Arabidopsis thaliana: one gene and its partners. The protein of the gene in region 1 purifies or fractionates together with the protein of each later gene. This does not show direct contact. Each region holds a gene or a part of one and is shown in the gene's direction. Other genes may lie near its edges. The genes, in order: RS41, AT2G40650 and AT2G05920.

What was found.
Region 2: the proteins of RS41 (region 1) and AT2G40650 fractionate together in Arabidopsis thaliana (co-fractionation; one large-scale study listed by BioGRID). This does not show direct contact.
Region 3: the proteins of RS41 (region 1) and AT2G05920 fractionate together in Arabidopsis thaliana (co-fractionation; one large-scale study listed by BioGRID). This does not show direct contact.

What each region holds. Positions count from the first base shown.
Region 1 is NC_003076.8:21,128,681-21,132,433, forward strand, and holds the start of RS41 (RNA-binding (RRM/RBD/RNP motifs) family protein), read left to right. Parts: upstream 1-1,639; 5' UTR 1,640-1,753; intron 1,754-2,364; coding exon of another isoform or gene 2,365-2,400; coding exon 2,401-2,506; coding exon of another isoform or gene 2,507-2,594; exon of another isoform or gene 2,595-2,657; coding exon of another isoform or gene 2,658-2,769; exon of another isoform or gene 2,770-2,813; coding exon of another isoform or gene 2,814-3,020; exon of another isoform or gene 3,021-3,110; coding exon of another isoform or gene 3,111-3,135; exon of another isoform or gene 3,136-3,200; coding exon of another isoform or gene 3,201-3,207; exon of another isoform or gene 3,208-3,406; coding exon 3,407-3,519; intron 3,520-3,599; coding exon 3,600-3,753. Other genes in the region: AT5G52030 (TraB family protein), read left to right, coding at 1-32, 129-247, 336-424, 501-575, 668-775, 870-971, 1,061-1,354; AT5G52045 (uncharacterized protein), read right to left, coding at 2,365-2,594, 2,658-2,769, 2,814-3,020. UniProt on the Arabidopsis thaliana protein: Required for constitutive and alternative pre-mRNA splicing. Involved in primary miRNA processing and pri-miRNA biogenesis. Binds both intronless and intron-containing pri-miRNAs.
Region 2 is NC_003071.7:16,964,046-16,967,798, reverse strand, and holds the start of AT2G40650 (PRP38 family protein), read left to right. Parts: upstream 1-2,000; 5' UTR 2,001-2,202; coding exon 2,203-2,492; intron 2,493-2,687; coding exon 2,688-2,809; intron 2,810-2,899; coding exon 2,900-2,990; intron 2,991-3,080; coding exon 3,081-3,201; intron 3,202-3,296; coding exon 3,297-3,370; intron 3,371-3,753. Other genes in the region: AT2G40660 (Nucleic acid-binding, OB-fold-like protein), read right to left, coding at 1-124, 217-339, 465-530, 727-792, 947-1,117, 1,332-1,430, 1,726-1,788. UniProt on the Arabidopsis thaliana protein: Probably required for the first pre-mRNA cleavage reaction catalyzed by the spliceosome.
Region 3 is NC_003071.7:2,270,785-2,274,537, reverse strand, and holds the start of AT2G05920 (Subtilase family protein), read left to right. Parts: upstream 1-2,085; 5' UTR 2,086-2,330; coding exon 2,331-3,753.

The sequences.
Region 1 (3,753 bases):
AAAGTCCAATTCTTTATCCAAACGAAATTCGGGTTTCGTGAAATTTGATGACTTTATTGCCAACTGATGAAATTGAATTAGCCATTGTGTTGTGTAACAAATTGCAGAGCTTGGTGTTGATGTTGCAGAGCTGGGATTATGTACACTTCAAGTGTTGGAGGAGAGGTTGACCAAAACTTAAAATCCGGAGAGTTGTCGTTGACCGGGACTGGCTTTCTCGGTGCTGTTGGCCGGAGTTTAGACTTGGGTATATAAACTAATCAAAGCTTTTTATTTACCATTGCTCGCTTTTGTACTTCAACGTTGATGAATGTGTGTGTTTGGGATGATCATAGGAGGGCAAACTGCGTTGGCATTGCGACTTCTATTGGCGGTTTTCTCTTCTAAGTTATCTTCTGTTGCTGACCGCCCTTTCGGGGATGAGGTACTTTTGAGAAAACCTCAAGAGTTAGTGTTTGTTTTTGGACATTCAGTCTCTTCTTGATTGCTATTTGTTGCAGTTTCGTGCTGCTCGGAAAGCATCTGAGGAAGTTGGTGCGCAGCTGGTTCTTGGAGATCGACCCATCGAAATAACTGTAATGACTATACCAAGTACCAACTGATCGTTTTTGTAGTTACATATGGGTTTAAAACCAATGGAATCTACATTGAACTTATAACATTGTAGCTCCAAAGGGCTTGGAACTCTTTGAAATGGGGAGAGAAGTTTAATCTGGTGATGGCTGTGACTCGGGTAATCACATCGTCATCGGGTATATCCGCAGCGGAGCTTAAGGTTTTGTTTCTCTTTCGCTAACTCGGTTTCGCTTTAATTCAAGAAGATGATAAGATAAGTTGTAACTTTTCGGTTTGTGTTTGCATTGCAACAGGAACAAGAGACCGATGAAAACAGTGGAAGTTTGCAGCTTTACGAACGGCTAAGTTTCTCATACCCGGCACTCCTAATGCCTCTTATACACGAAAGAGATACCGTAAGCATAAAAACCGAAACAAAGCGACACTCAAAAAAACCGTATGCTGATAAGACTTGACCAAATAATGTGTTTTTTTGCCTTGACAGTATCTTGCTTGGTCATTGAAGAGAAGTAAGGCAGTGAATGGGTGTAAAACAGTGGTGGGAGTGATCGGGAAAGGACACATGAATGGTGTCATCTACGCGTTGGTGTCAGACTCTGGGGATCTCCGGTTTAGAGATTTGGTGGGAAGAGGAGATTCATATAATGGTGGTACTGGTACTACATCGAACGGTTGGATTCAAAAGGTTTTAAAGAGCTTCGTAAGAGACACAATTATAGGGTTCTTGCTATGGGAGTTATATGAACAGTATCTGATGATGAATCAAAACCTTTCATGATATAACTAAAAAAACAAGTTGTTGCATATTTAAAAAGGAAACTGGAAAAAGAATCTAAATGAGTACAATATGTATGTATATGATTCTTCTTCCTCTAGATTTTGTTGAGGCAACTACAAAGTCTTATATGAAATTGATGTATATTTTGCAGAAATTTCAATTGTAAACATAAAATGTTTAGGTAAAAAATTATTTGTACTTCTCTAGTTGGTAACGAAATAAAAATAAAATATTTTTTTTTTTAATATATATATATATATATATATAAATATAAATATATGTTTAAGATTCATTATCTGGAGAGAGAGCCTCGAAGAAAGCAAATAAAATCTAGAGAAGCTTGTTTCTAGGGTTTCGACTCTCGACGGCCGGTACGATTTTTCAACTGCTTGTTCTAAGGTATAATCAAAATCGAGTTCTTCAGATATTGAATTCGATTCTCTCTTTGGTCTCTCTCTTCTCTTGTTCTTCAGATTTAAATTCGATAGCTTTTTCATTTTCTTCCGTTGAATTTTTCTTGTTTCATTAGGTCTGTTGAAATTGTAGTTTCTTCTTGCTTTGTTTTCTCATATGGTTGATTTTTTTTTTCCAGATCTGAGGTTTTTTTCATCATAGCTTGAAAAAATCCATACTTTCTGGGCTTCCTTTGTATAAATATGAAAACTTTAATGAAAATCTGTTGTGGTATGTTATGGGTTGTGACTTGTGATGAATTGAATTTTGAATATAGTTGTAAATTTGAAATCTTGAAGTATGAAATTTGCATTGGTTTGTTAATTTGTGATGAATTGGATTTTGATTATTACAGTTATAAAGTTGAAAACTTGGAAGTGTAGATGATTACATTTTTCTGTGGTTTGGTTCCTGTTATGTTCATTGTTCTATGATCTTAATTATATGTTTTGTTATTGCTTCTCTTCTGGAGTGTGTTTATTTGTATATTTTGGTCAAATCTGTGCTCTGTTTAGTATCTCTTGGATATCTTTTGATACTTAGGTTGTTGAGAGGAGCTATAAATCGTTTCTGTTGTCTATTTTGTAGGAATCATGAAGCCTGTCTTTTGCGGAAACTTTGAGTATGATGCTCGTGAGAGTGATCTTGAGCGGCTTTTCAGAAAGTACGGCAAGGTTGAGAGGGTTGATATGAAAGCTGGTAAGTCTTGGTTCTTGTTTTTCTTTATACTTTCTCTTAGTTTTTCTGTTTGGTTGAATTGAAATGGATAAAGAAGTCTCGTAAACCACTACCAATCCGATGAACAACAAGCGAAATTCAGTCAAATGCATTGTTCTTAAAATCCACTTACGTGCGTTCATTCCATGAGACTCTCTGGAGGACTGTCCTTTCAAAGTGTGCTCTCTAGCCTCTGCATCCCACATTCCGTATTCCCTCGGTTCGCTACCATCTGATTCCAACATCTGCCAAGGAACTTGAAGCACCCCGCATGAAGTTCATAGCATACCTCAGAAGAGAAAAGATCGAGTAATTTTAGGGTAAAACCGCCATACTCAACATTTGATTTTGGCGCAGGATTTGTTTCGATCTTGGGATGCCCATTCTCCCACACAGCCCATTGATGGACAATATGGAAAATCCATTTCCTGCCCAAAAGAGTCAACCTCATCCACGCAATGGCACTACGTTCCCATAACCCCGACTTTAGTTGCATTTCATTCCTCTTGACTTTTCTCCTCTTCGAGATGCACATGCCTCTTTGGTAGACTTATACCAACCTCTCACAGCAGAGGCAGCAAATCAAATGGAGTTTGCGCCACCACGTTTCTGTTCACAATTCCGTCTCATCTCCTCCTCATTTTCAGTTCTTCTTCTTTGACATATTAATTCCATAATGCAAGGTCTGTAAAACTACTTATAGTTTGTAGAGATTTTAGGTTCAAAACTTATTTGTCACAGTAAGTAGTAAAGGCTGTTTTGATACTGCCGTGGAAGGGAGAGTCTTCATATTAGAATTCCTCTTGGAGGAGGTTCTTTTTCTTGGTTTACTTGATAAGATTGTTCTCATGTTCTGACTTTCCCTTTTGGTTCTCTCCCCAGGGTTTGCTTTTGTCTATATGGAAGATGAAAGGGATGCTGAAGATGCAATTCGAGCGCTTGATCGCTTTGAATATGGTCGCACAGGACGCAGACTCCGTGTTGAGTGGACAAAGGTAGAATCTTGAATATCATTTTAAAAGTTATTATCAGGACGGATTTAGTGATGGAATGCAAATTCTAATACTGGGTATAGAATGACCGTGGAGGTGCTGGAAGATCAGGTGGTTCGAGGAGATCATCTTCTGGCTTGAGACCTTCCAAGACTCTGTTTGTGATCAACTTCGATGCACAAAACACTAGGACTCGGGACTTGGAGAGGCACTTTGAGCCGTATGGTAAAATTGTTA
Region 2 (3,753 bases), on another chromosome or scaffold:
GACCAACCTGAATGTTAAGCAAACTGACACTAAGCTCTGCCTCTTTCTTAGCTGGTTCTGGTTCAGCAGGCTTCTTCTTTTCCTTTTTGGCATCCTTCTCTTTTGCTGCATTTTTCTTTGGTTCCTACACGAAAAAGGACAGAGGAGAACACCAGATTCAACTAATTAAAGAGACTCACAGTCATTGAAATCAAACTTAAAAGTTAAAATAAGTACCTCTGGCTCAGTTTTCTTTGTGCCCAGCTGCGGCTGCACATCTGGCTTGTCAACAGGCTTTACACCTTCTGCAGCTTTTTTTGAATTAGAATTTGTTTCCACCTTAATGGCAGGTTTTGGTACCTACGTTTAGAATAAATGAAAAAGATCAGAAAACCATTTTCTCATCGCATGTAATACATCTGAAAAAAGTAGCATGTTATTATTGTTTCTCAGTCTAAGAAAATGGGTATGAAAAGATAATTCACCTCGAAGCTAAATTCTGGTAGCTTCACAGGTATTGGTGCAAATAATGTCGACAACTCTTCTTTATTCTGTAAAATAATACGCAGCATATATTCGTAAAGCAGACAATCACAAGGAAAGAAAAATGTGAAAGGTGATGTTCAGAGAGTGCATATCTAGCTATAGTCACTAACGCCGTTACGCGTACACATAAAGTAGTCCTCCATGGATTTACAGGCTACCTCGGCGCAATCAAGTAACAAAACTTTATGATGTCGAACTTACCTGGATGTAATTCACCCATCTTATGACATGTGGTACTTTCTCCTTGTCTGAATCTGAGAGGCCAAGCTGGGAACAGCAAGTCAAACAGATAACAGTTAGTATTTAATACCTTTAGTCATCAGTTTATGAAAATTTGATCGTAGCATCTTTATCAAGTAACATAAAATTACTTATACAGGAACGAAAAATAAGTAGACTACGGAATATAGAGAAGTGGTACCACTGAAGAATGCAGAGCTGAAAACACAGCAACATCAGCTGCCGATGGCGTCAATCCGTTTCCCAAGAGCACTGACTTGGTAGCTAACTCTAAATTCAACTTTTCAAGAGCTGAAAACCAATCCTTTGAATCTGAAGAGAAACCTTCCGCAAAATCTAGCCACTTCAAAACCTGAAATAGGTTTTTACTCTTTAAAATGTGAAACAATGACGCATTATGCAAACGAAAGCCAACGAATCCTCATCATTTAGCATTACACAGAACTCAAACATACTAATTCATTTTTTTTCTAACGTGGTAGCAACGAGAAGGGAACTCAATAAATTCCCAGTAAGAGTTTGGCGTTTATGTCTATAGGAACCAAATTCAAGAAGAAACGACTTACATCGTTGTTTTGTGCAGATACTTCCTTTCCAGATGCCTTCAATACATTAGAATAAAGTGTCTTGATATCACTTTCACCCGCTCCGCCCACAAAAGGTTCCTAAACAAATGAATCAAATCAATTTCAGAAACAGAACCAATAAATCATCACAATGTAAAATCATAAAAGCCAATTTCTAAAGTTTTTTCCTTTTTCATGACCAGCTTGATGCATAAGCGTAAACACTGATAAGTCCAAAACATAAACTTTCTAATTGATTTCAGTACCCAATCAGATAATGTTCGAGTTTTCTCCACTAACTAATTCAAAAAATGATCATACACATACTCAGCTACCAAGCAAAACCTCACAAAAAAGCAGAAGCTTTTGAGATGTCATCTTCTTCAATACTTACAGGATCCAAAGAGAAGTGTTTGCAGAGAGCTGAAAGAATCATCTGCTTCGCCTTTGAATCCATCGTCAACTTCTTCTCTTTCTCTATTTTCGAAATTTTGTTCTTCTCTTTGGGGCTCTTCGCTGTAAGAAAACACACTGCAATTTCTTCGATAGGGTTTTTGCTTGATGTAACTAACGGTCCTAACGGACTTCCAACTAACGGCGTTATCTCCATCTATAATGGGCCTAGATATATTAGCAGCCCATTAATATGTTCTTACTATGGGCTTTACCACCGAAAGCAATCATTAATAAAATAAAATAAATGAATTAACTTCTCAGATTCTTCAAAGACCTAGAGTGTCTTCGTCTTCGACGACGGCAAATTCGTGGAAGCTGTTTCATCGATTCCGGCTTCACTGAAGCGGCGTCGCTCGACGTTTATTATTCCGACGACTAGGCCTTTGAGGCAGTTTCTGATTAACTTCAGGCGATAATGGCAAACAGAACAGATCCGTTGGCAAAGAATATAAGAGGAACGAATCCGCAGAATCTGGTAGAGAAGATTGTGCGAACGAAGATTTATCAGCACACCTTTTGGAAGGAGCAGTGCTTTGGTCTCACGGCGGAGACATTGGTGGACAAAGCTATGGAGCTCGACCATCTAGGTGGTACCTTTGGTGGTAGCCGCAAGCCTACTCCGTTCCTTTGCCTCATATTGAAGATGCTTCAAATCCAGCCTGAGAAGGAAATTGTCGTGGAGTTCATAAAAAATGATGACTACAAGTAAGATTTCTAACCAAAAGCTTATTTCTGCGTAATCTAGATTGGATACTGCTATTAGCCTTGTCGTAGTTGTTTCTCAAGTATACAGGTATGGAATGTCTCTCAAATCTATTGGTCTTAGATAATCTACTCTCTTAGTTTCTGCAGATATTTGTTCTTGAATTACTGAAATATTTACTCTTTTGGTTTCTGCAGATATGTTCGTATTCTTGGTGCGTTCTATCTGCGTCTCACTGGGACTGATGTTGATGTCTATCGCTACCTCGAACCTCTCTACAATGACTACCGGAAAGTGAGACAAAAGTTATCTGATGGGAGTAAGTTTCATTTTCTTTCGATGGATCCGTTGTGTTTAACTTTTGATTGATTTGTTCACTAACTAGATTTATTTCTTTGGTTTGGAATAGAGTTTTCGCTGACACATGTGGACGAAGTCATTGAGGAACTTCTAACCAAGGATTATTCTTGTGATATTGCAATGCCACGTTTGAAGAAAAGGTTTCTTCTTTTGCATTTGTCTGAAGCTGAATAATTAGTTTTTGGTTTCTGCAGTATTTTAAGATGGTTAATTTTTCACTCTGATGATAGGTGGACGCTTGAACAGAATGGTTTATTAGAGCCAAGGAAAAGTGTTTTGGAAGACGACTTTGAAGAAGAGGAAGAAAAGGAGGAGAATGAAGGGATTGCTGATGGATCTGAAGATGAGATGGTCAGTGCTTTCATTCTGCAATAGTTTTTATGTGATCTGTTTTCTGTTTCTATCTAGCAGCTCTAAGATGATACCATCTTCCTCCTCTTTTACAGGATCAGCGCCGTAAGAGTCCTGAAAGAGAAAGAGAAAGAGACAGAGACAGGAGACGCGACAGTCATAGACACAGGTATCTGAATCCGTGACCTTTACTAGATACATTTCTATGCTAGTTAACATTTTTCAAAAAAAAATTCTTTGTGATTGTGGAAGCTGTTTGATCTAGCTAATGCTCTTGCATCATGTCTAGTACTCTGTCTTTTGAGTGTCTGTTTCCACTATGGCATCTCAAGCCATCAGCGGTTGGATACAGCTTCCGAAATTAAATTTGTAGAGATCCTTCCAGGTTTCTCTGTACTGACAGTGTTCAGAGAGAAGTATTATGGATCAGACATTATTACAATCCTTACCCTGATACAGTATATGGTAGTTGTCATTGTGTTACTTTGAAAAAGATCAGTTAATCATGAGAGCACTTCCCATCTAGTTTTTAGCTCAATCAATGTTTTCTTT
Region 3 (3,753 bases), on another chromosome or scaffold:
ACCTTAGTCTCTAACAATGAAAAGCGTTGCACTAGCTTTTTCACTCACAATCACGGCCAAGTCTAACAAGAACTTTAGCACCTCTATTTATACCATCGAGGTCTTCGGTCTTCTAGGTTAGCCTTCAAGATCTTGGATCACTCCAAATCTTCGCGTGAATATCTTCTTTCCAAACTGAACTCCTCCTGTTGTGGTCTCCACGTCATTCGTTCATTTGGCGGCATATCCACGTCAGCATCAATTACTTGATCTTCACTTTAGTCTTCTGAAACAGCTTCCAGCTTGTTCCAGCAATCAACACTCCTTCTGATTGTTCTGACAGAGGGTGCACTAACATTTTTATCTCCCAAAATTGTCTACTTCTTTGTAGGCTATTATTGATGGTAGAAATCAGATTTTGGTCAGCGTCTGGGCTTGCCATTGCCTCCTCTAGCTTTTGCCTATTCTCTTCAGTGGCTTTTTGACTATTTTGATGCTTAGTCCTAGTTCAGGTAATGATTTCTTGTATAAATCTACTGACATTTTCCTCAACATCCTCCATGGCGTCAAAGTTCCAAGCTGCTTAAATTAAAATAGAGACTTCCTCATTGTCTTTCAATCTTTTATCGTACTTAAAAACTCCTTTTTTCTTTTCCTCGAATACATTAAAGTGAGTAAGAAGTGGTTGACGGTCTGAGCTTTCAAACCTTAAATACTCCCAACGACTGGATGGGTAAGCCTTAGCCCTTGTTCCATTTGACATAGCCCTATATAGTGTGCAATGAACAATGAGCTCATGTCTCTTTCCTCTCCAAGAGAAGAAGTTGCTCAAGTGTCTGAGATCGTATAAGTCACATTCTGACATGAATGACCTAATGTTCACAAAAGTACCTTCATGTATGATTTGTCCTCCTTGTTTTTCTGATGCATCAATGATGTCATTAAAATCTCTTGTTAAGTGCCAAGGTTCTTCTCTATTCCCATGAATAATTAAGATCTCATGTTTTCAACAAGTATTACTAAAACTATTATTTTTATTCTTCAAACTCAAAAAGTAGAGCTATATAGTGACAAAAAAACTGTTGCACGTAAATTTATCGTCATAAAAATGACTTTTAACATAACACGTGAATTACACATTGTTTAATGATACGTTACTAAAAAAGATAACGTTATTTTTTGACCACCGATTTTTAAGTAATAAATACATGAATTGTTACAAGCAAAAAAATGTTGAGAGCTTATTCAATTTCATCATACTAGTGTGACATCATTGCTACATATATTGAATATATTGCACGTTTTTAGTTACACATATAAACACTCGTATGCATAACTACGTCAGGTATCCCGACAACAAAATTCACCTAATTTGTTTTAGTTAGCAAACCTGATCTAAAAACTCAACATTATGGGTCTTTCAACTTGAGTTAAGTACACAAACTCTCCCATACCAAGCTGTGAAGAGATCCAAAAAACAATATCCAATGTCTACATTTATTTTTATTTCTATTTTAAAGAAAATATAATCGATTTAGCTTCAATAACTCTAAAATAGAAAAAAAAAGAAATTACTATATATAGATTACTCTTAAATTTTCAATCAAAATCCAAAAAAAATATTTCTCAACATAACACATCTTACTACTTTAAAAACCTCACAAAATAGTTATTATATTATTCTTAGTCAAATTCATAACCTATATTCCCTATTTTCCGGTCAGTCATATGCTTTTGCTAATAAACTTAAATATAGATAGATCTGATAAATTCTTTTCGGAACCAATTATTTTCTTCCCTTAATTTATTAGTTGTTACCCTTTAAATGATCTTAATTCTAAAAAACAGACCAACAACTTTATTAGCTACCCTTAAATGATCTTTAGTTTTCAACAAACTCATCAACAATTTTATAAATTCTTAAACCCAACATCATCCACCCAAACACAATTATTAAAAAAACAATCTATATGTTTATAAACATATAATAAAATAAAATAAAAAGACACAAAAAGAACGTTGAAAAAAGAAAGAAAAAGACACAAAAGAACGTTTGAGGAAACCAATAAAAAGAAAAATGGGCCTGAGAGACTGAAGAACAACCCTTTTATCACGTATCGTGTCTCCAGCTGTATATATATTTCCCACACACACTCTTTTTCAAAACCCCACCGACGATGGCATTTCCGTTATTATTCTAACGGTCACACGTCCCTTACGTGTCCACCACTTTTTTTTATTATTATTTTAATCCCATCACTCTTTCTCTCTCTCTCCCTATCTTCTTCTTCTTCTTCTTCTTATTCCCCACACTCTCTTCTTCTCTACTTCACCATCATTCACACACACTCATGGCTTCTTCTTCTTCTTCTTCTTCCTCCATCACAATCATCACCACCTTCCTCTTCCTTCTCCTCCACACAACCGCCAAAAAAACCTACATCATCCGCGTCAATCACTCCGATAAACCGGAATCATTCCTCACTCACCACGATTGGTACACATCTCAACTCAATTCAGAATCATCTCTTCTCTACACTTACACAACCTCCTTCCATGGCTTCTCCGCTTACCTCGACTCCACCGAAGCCGATTCTCTCCTCTCCTCCTCAAACTCAATCCTCGATATCTTCGAAGATCCTCTCTACACACTTCACACTACGCGTACTCCTGAGTTTCTCGGTCTCAATTCCGAATTCGGTGTTCACGATCTCGGTTCTTCTTCTAACGGCGTTATCATCGGAGTTTTAGATACTGGCGTTTGGCCTGAATCTAGAAGCTTCGATGATACTGATATGCCTGAGATTCCTTCTAAATGGAAAGGAGAATGTGAATCTGGTTCCGATTTCGATTCCAAGTTGTGTAACAAGAAGCTTATCGGAGCTAGAAGCTTCTCCAAAGGATTTCAAATGGCTTCTGGTGGTGGTTTTTCGAGTAAGCGTGAATCTGTTTCTCCTCGTGATGTTGACGGACATGGAACACATACTTCAACTACCGCCGCGGGATCCGCCGTTAGAAACGCTAGCTTCCTCGGTTACGCCGCCGGTACGGCCAGAGGTATGGCCACTCGTGCTCGTGTTGCTACTTATAAAGTTTGTTGGAGTACTGGTTGTTTTGGATCTGATATACTAGCTGCTATGGATCGAGCTATACTTGATGGTGTTGATGTGCTTTCGTTATCTCTTGGTGGTGGTTCTGCTCCGTATTATCGCGATACGATTGCGATTGGAGCGTTTTCGGCTATGGAGAGAGGTGTTTTTGTGTCTTGTTCTGCTGGTAATAGTGGTCCTACTAGAGCTTCTGTTGCCAATGTTGCTCCTTGGGTTATGACTGTTGGTGCTGGTACTTTAGATAGAGATTTTCCGGCTTTTGCGAATCTCGGTAACGGGAAACGACTTACCGGTGTTTCGCTGTATAGCGGTGTAGGAATGGGGACGAAGCCGCTTGAATTGGTTTATAATAAAGGGAATAGTAGTTCGAGTAATCTTTGTTTACCTGGTTCGCTTGATTCGAGTATTGTTCGTGGGAAGATTGTTGTTTGTGATAGAGGTGTTAATGCTAGAGTTGAGAAAGGAGCTGTGGTTAGAGATGCTGGTGGTTTAGGGATGATAATGGCGAATACTGCTGCGAGTGGAGAGGAGCTTGTGGCGGATAGTCATTTGCTTCCCGCGATCGCTGTAGGGAAGAAGACTGGTGATTTACTTAGGGAGTATGTTAAGTCAGATTCTAAACCAACCGCTCTTCTTGTTTTTAAAGGAACGGTTCTTGACGTTA